Linked DNA regions of Arabidopsis thaliana. The protein of the gene in region 1 interacts with the protein of each later gene in a pairwise test. Each region holds a gene or a part of one and is shown in the gene's direction. Other genes may lie near its edges.

Region 1 (3,707 bases):
GTTGAAAATACATTTTGAAAAAAATATAATCTAGTGACATAAACATATAATAGTTACTAATATCACAAAAAGATATATATTCTAATTAATAATCCATGATTTAGAACATATTTTGTTTTCTCATAAAATATCTTAGAAAATAATATTTGAAAAAATAAGTAGCCATCAAGAAAAAGGAACAAACATAAGTAAAAAGAGGAAACGATAGAAGTTTCATGTTGGAGAGAAAGAGGAGGGAGATGGTGATGAATTTTTCCGTTCGAAACTACGACGACCTAATTAAAATATGACGTATATATAGCCAACATTCATATGTAATGACATATTTTCGAGTCTCCGATATATTACATTCTGTGTTATTAATTTATCCTAGATATATAGTACTATACATTGACATCAAACCAAGAATACTAATTATAACATAAAATTAAGAGCAACTGGTTATGATTGGTTTACATCCAGATGTACATAAATTCAGGAGTCCTCTGGTTAAAGGACAAGTAGATTCCTTTTTCACCGGCGAACCATGTAGCATTTGCATTATTTTTCTGAGAGGTGTTCATACTTGACTTGTAAGCTATAAACGAACGGTGATGCGCCCAATGGTAACCCTGGTGTAGATTGCATATAAATTGTGTCTCATGGAAGAAAGCATCTTTGAAACGCCAAGTTTGTGGTGGATCATTGTGACGCAAGTACATGGTCTTAAAATCGTCGTCCCCTGAATAACAATGGAGCTTCAGGGTTGCGTTTTTTGGTAACCTGTTTACTATCATTAATACGTTTCTCCCATGCGTATCTCCAATGTAAAACACTAAAACAATGAGAACAATTGTGAGACGTTTCATTTTGTTTTTCTGGGGATGTTAATTAGATTGTTTTTATTTTTTTGTTTATTTATTTATTTATAAAGATTGCGATTTTGATGTATTTATATATACAAATTTGATCAGTATATGTTTTTTGAGGTTGTGCTTTAAATTCTGTCTTCTCTTTATTTTTTGAGGTTATGCGTTAAAATTAGGAATGGCTCGAGTGGTCATCATGTAGAAATGGCTTGAGTGGTTAAAATTAGAAGTGGCTCGAGTGTTCTACTTGCAATTTTTGTGGAGGAATTGTTAATAAATATTTCAACCATAAACTTAATAAAATGGTTAAAAAAATTTCGTCTATTCCTAGGTTTATAGTAACCTTTCTTTTCGTACTTTGGCGAAACATTCCCTTTGTTATATCATTATATCTTTTAATTCTAACATTCTTTTCTTCGTTTTTAGTTGGATGCTTTATTAATAGATGAATTTTAAAAATATCATAGATTTAATCACTGATGCCCAATACAAATTTGTCAACATGATATAGTTTGCCAAACCTAAAGAAGAAACATAGATAAAGGTTACATTAGAAGGGGGGCACTATAGTGGCACTAGTTCACTAGGTCATTCCTTTCACCCAAGTTCGAAACCTCACCTTTTAAGCGGTTACATATTCATCTCTCAAGTGGGCCTCGAGATTAAAATTAAAAAGGTTACGTTGATATTGATGGGTTTAGACATTAATAGTAGGTATTAATTCGATAAGTTATGAAAAGACAGTAAAACTGGTTAAGTAGCCGACTTAATTTGGCCTTTTGTATCTCCACTTGGTTGGTTGGTTGGTTGGTTGGTCAGCAAAACACCTAAGTGAGAGCTCTCTAGAATATTCTTAAGTGATAAGAATTGAAGAAGGCGGCATTACTTACTTACTAGAAAGAAATGAGAACAAGTCTTCTTAGCCGACTTCCACAAACACGTGTACCAAGTCAAACCAAATGTGCCCAAACCAAACTTAGATACTTTCACTTTTCATCTCTAGTCCACACAACATTATATATAATTAAAATAAATATATCAAATTAAAGTGATTATCGACTTCTTCACTCTTCTTCAACTCTTTCTCATCTCTCGACACGCAACTTCCTTCCTCTTCAGACTCCTCTGACTTTACTATATATAACACACACACTTTCATTTCTTGTTTCTTCAAATCAAATCTTTTCATTTACAATTATCTTTCTTCTCAATTTAGAACTTAGTAGCTAGTCTTCAAGATAATGGCACTTGAAACTCTTACTTCTCCAAGATTATCTTCTCCGATGCCGACTCTGTTTCAAGATTCAGCACTAGGGTTTCATGGAAGCAAAGGCAAACGATCTAAGCGATCAAGATCTGAATTCGACCGTCAGAGTCTCACGGAGGATGAATATATCGCTTTATGTCTCATGCTTCTTGCTCGCGACGGAGATAGAAACCGTGACCTTGACCTGCCTTCTTCTTCGTCTTCACCTCCTCTGCTTCCTCCTCTTCCTACTCCGATCTACAAGTGTAGCGTCTGTGACAAGGCGTTTTCGTCTTACCAGGCTCTTGGTGGACACAAGGCAAGTCACCGGAAAAGCTTTTCGCTTACTCAATCTGCCGGAGGAGATGAGCTGTCGACATCGTCGGCGATAACCACGTCTGGTATATCCGGTGGCGGGGGAGGAAGTGTGAAGTCGCACGTTTGCTCTATCTGTCATAAATCGTTCGCCACCGGTCAAGCTCTCGGCGGCCACAAACGGTGCCACTACGAAGGAAAGAACGGAGGCGGTGTGAGTAGTAGCGTGTCGAATTCTGAAGATGTGGGGTCTACAAGCCACGTCAGCAGTGGCCACCGTGGGTTTGACCTCAACATACCGCCGATACCGGAATTCTCGATGGTCAACGGAGACGAAGAGGTGATGAGTCCTATGCCGGCGAAGAAACTCCGGTTTGACTTCCCGGAGAAACCCTAAACATAAACCTAGGAAAAACTTTACAGAATTCATTTTATAGGAAATTGTTTTACTGTATATACAAATATCGATTTTGATTGATGTTCTTCTTCACTGAAAAATTATGATTCTTTGTTGTATAATTGATGTTTCTGAAAAAGATATAACTTTTTATTGTTTCACACGTATCAAAATTTGCTTGGATACATCATACATAATAAGAGAGCATATCGAAAGTGACTAATTTACGGGCCAGTTTGTTAATCCGTTGGACTAGCCTACTTAGTTTGGTAGGCCGGTATGACCTAACTTACAAGTTTTGAGCCCATCATATATCCAACCATACTTCCACATAGGCTCGTCGTGACCAGCAACACCCAACAAGTTGATCTCCCATCATCTTACATCACATAAATATAAATGTACTGAATCTAAGAACAAAAAGAGAGCTTTTCTTTTTATATGCCATAATTTCTTTATAAAGTGTAAAGTTAACTCCATGTGATTATATGACTATAAAAATTAGGTGTACCCCAAATTTAAAATGATCTAATGAGATTGAACGACGCATTAGTAAAGAGTAAAGACCAAGATCCTTTTTATCAGATATGTACCATTTTGGGAACATCATTGTATGACCTAAATGAGTTCTTAAAATATACAAAGCTTTTCGGCCACAACCTGCTAACATAGTTTGATCGACACACAGAGCGATAACTATAAGAAAAACAAAGATAATATTTATACTTGAGATGGAGTTTTTCTTCTTCTACTTAATTATTGTATATTACTAGAGAAATTTATTCACCTAAGTAGTTTAATTTGTCTATATTAAAAATTATATTTTCTAATTAATGTAAATACTCTATATACTAAACTCCCTTGTATAATTACTAATATTAGCTTCAACATTATTTTCTTA
Region 2 (3,411 bases), on another chromosome or scaffold:
TCGGTATAAAATCACAATCATAACTAATTCAACAACTAATATTTAAACTTATAAAAAATTAAAAAATCATGAGACAAAAAATATAGCGGGACGGATTTAGATTGATATGAATAGCAGGACGGGTTTGGATTGATATAACACATGTTAAATATTTATTTTATTATTTTATCATCACCAATTTTTTTAGTTACAATATTAATATAAAATTATATAACTTTAATACTAAACTAAAACCGTAAAATTCATATTATTATATATATATATATAAAAAATATTTGTCCCGTGGTGTACCACGGATTAAATCCTAGTTTAAGATTTATTTTTGTATCATTTATTGGAAGACAGAACATTCAACATATAATAGATTCTGCTGATATGGTCTTCTTATTGTTTTACTTCTTTCTGATATATATACCATTTTCTGGTTAAAACAACTATTATGATATTAACAAAGGAAATTTCGTAAAAATTATACATAAGATAATTACTCGATCATAATTTCCGAAACATTAATAATTTTCTGGTAATAAAAAATATATATAAAAAATTGTGAATTGGGATATAGATGTGTTGGGTGGCCTAGACGAATAGGGAGGATATAAGAACATGTGCATGCACGTTAAGCTAATATACATACAACGTGCTGCTAACAAGCGATCAATTTCGACCACTAAACACTCCATTATGGCTACTTATTATATGTATAAACCTACCTTAATTAGTTAGGTACTTTTCACGTTACCTTGAAACCTATAAAATATAGACATACACTGATCAATCATATGCGAATGTTAAGCTAATTCTCATTTAATGATCAATTTATATATCTCAATTATCAGAGACGTACATATATGTCTAAGAGAATTTGTAAGTACAATGTTTCGTGTTGACGGCGATGGGAGATATACATTGAATCTATAGTCTCCGAGGATGTTTGATCAACATCGCTCCACGAATCTGCTTTTCTTTTTCTTTTCTTAAAAATAAACACATGACGAGAAAGAACATAATCTTTTAAGGTGCTTCAATCAAATCCACTCACTAAAATAAAAATCCTAAATACGAAAGTCCATAAATTCAAAGGAACACAGAAGATCACTGCATGTTCTTGTGTCTTTTTATATTAAGACCTTATCCCATTATCCAACATCGTTATCTACTTTGTCCAAAAAAATAAAACACCTAGAAATGCTTTTGTTATATCATTAGGTTATTCATATTTCTTAATTAGTTGCGCCGGGTTATATCAGCTGGAAATAATGAGATATATAACGACTTGATAAAAGCAAAAGCATTATGACAACCAAATAGTCATATTTTATCTATCATCTCCGTCGACAGTGGTGATCAATTCAAACTATATACATTGTAGCGAAACTCAAACACTAATATATTGTATGTTTCTAAATTAGTTTACGAATCAGACCAAAATTTTGGGAGAAATATAAAATAAGATAATTTTTCGATAGTTGTTTTGACTTTTGCTAACGCGCGCGGCATAATATGAATATTTTCTTTTTCATCTTATCAACCTATATATCTGTCTATTTCAATCGCTAGCGTCTTAATACACTGATTGCATGCTTATAAATTAGATTAAGAATTAATCTAGAAAGATAATGGCATAAAGATAATTATATTCTTCGTTAATGCCTGACTTTTTTTTTTTGGTTTGCTTCAATCCGCCCGACTTTGTTAATCTCAGAACAAATTGGCTGCGAAAGTAAAATAAAATAAAATGAAAAAATGGATAAAGCGCAACAAAGGAGGAATAAGACAGGGTGTTTAAGGTGATGTGAATGGGAAGAAAGTTGGTGTTATTAAGCATGTAAGAGAGTTGGGTAGTGATGATAATCATGTGAGTGCATGTGCATCGAGTTGTATTTTGATGACATGTCCTCTGATTTAAGCTAAACCCTAATTATCCATCAAAAACAACATTTAAAACACCCTTGTGGACACTTGTCAAATTCTCATCCAATTCTTTTGAGAGATAAAAGGAGAACCTTCTCAGAAGCTGTAATCTCCATTTTAAGCTATATATAAAGGTCACTGACCTCTATGTATGTCTATATAAACTAAGGGCGTCTCATACTCTCATATATATTTGCATCTAATCTTGTAAGCAAACGTTATCACTTGTCTACACAACATTCTTTCATTTACAATAATAATATGGGTGTAACATTAGAAGGACAAAGAAAGGAATCAATTTGGGTTTTGATGAGAAGACAAAGGGCTCGAAGGGCACTTGTGAAGAAGATCATGATCCGACCAAGGAAGAGTGTAGAAGCTTCTAGAAGACCTTGTCGCGCAATACACAGACGAGTGAAGACGCTAAAAGAGCTTGTTCCCAACACCAAAACATCAGAAGGTTTAGATGGACTCTTTAGACAAACGGCAGATTATATCTTGGCTTTGGAAATGAAAGTGAAAGTTATGCAGACAATGGTTCAGGTTTTGACCGAAACTAACTGTGTTTAAAAGCCTTCATATATTTTTTGTATATCTTGTTGGATTTTACGTTCTTTTTAGTTTTTATTTGTTCGTGTTTATTTTTTATTATCTCGTGTGATTGTCTTGTGTTGCTTATATAGAAAAGGAATTTGGTTTATCTTGCTGCTGTAGACTATGCAGAAAATTAAATATCAAAAATATATATGTATTATATGCTTATCTAAATAACAGATGACTGTTGGTTCGGCAAAAAAAACATGATAATTGTTCCATGGGAATAGTTTTTGTGTGCTACATTAGCAAAGAACAAAGGGTCATTTCTTAAAAAGGTTGTAAAGGAACTATGTTGTAAACATGATATCAATAAAATTAAGTTCAGTCGGTTGGAGAAAATACAAATGTAGGGAGGTAACAGGTATTTTTTACCAATAAAGGGACAAAACACTGTTGAAAAAGAATGTTTAACGTTGGGCTGTGAAAGTGCGTGGGCCACGAATTCAAATACCGAATTTTTAGTCCATATAGTGGAAGCATCCAAATTCGAAGTTCAGGCTCACCTTCGAACTTGTGAAAGTTTCAATATTTCTATTCATTTGAAAGTTCATAATTGCAAACTATGATTTGGAAATTACAGTGAAAGAACTTGAATTTTAGTCTTGAAATATCAAAATTAATCCTTAAACTATTTAACACAGTGAGTTAGCTATATTTTGTTTTTTCATTCGTGTTTTCCATATTATTTGTTGTTGACGTGTTGTTACTACGCTCTCCATTTAGGGTGTTACAAATAAATTAAAAATTGCGATGACCAAAAAAAAGAATATACCGATTATTTTCGAATAGTTCTAGGCATCAATAGTGGATATGCAGAAAATTTATCGAGAAGACTACTAGCTTCATAGTACGTATTATAACGATGTAATTTACTTTTCATTGTAATTCTTTCAAAGTAAT

Evidence for each region.
Region 2: the proteins of ZAT6 (region 1) and UPB1 interact in a two-hybrid assay, tested with the Arabidopsis thaliana proteins (one large-scale study listed by BioGRID).

Annotation. Positions count from the first base shown.
Region 1 is NC_003076.8:1,215,420-1,219,126, reverse strand, and holds ZAT6 (6), read left to right. Parts: upstream 1-1,764; 5' UTR 1,765-2,089; coding exon 2,090-2,806; 3' UTR 2,807-3,069; downstream 3,070-3,707. UniProt on the Arabidopsis thaliana protein: Probable transcription factor that regulates root development and phosphate (Pi) acquisition and homeostasis. Probably acts as a repressor of primary root growth and regulates Pi homeostasis through the control of root architecture.
Region 2 is NC_003071.7:19,410,814-19,414,224, reverse strand, and holds UPB1 (transcription factor UPBEAT protein), read left to right. Parts: upstream 1-1,896; 5' UTR 1,897-2,175; coding exon 2,176-2,484; 3' UTR 2,485-2,795; downstream 2,796-3,411. UniProt on the Arabidopsis thaliana protein: Transcription factor that modulates the balance between cellular proliferation and differentiation in root growth. Does not act through cytokinin and auxin signaling, but by repressing peroxidase expression in the elongation zone.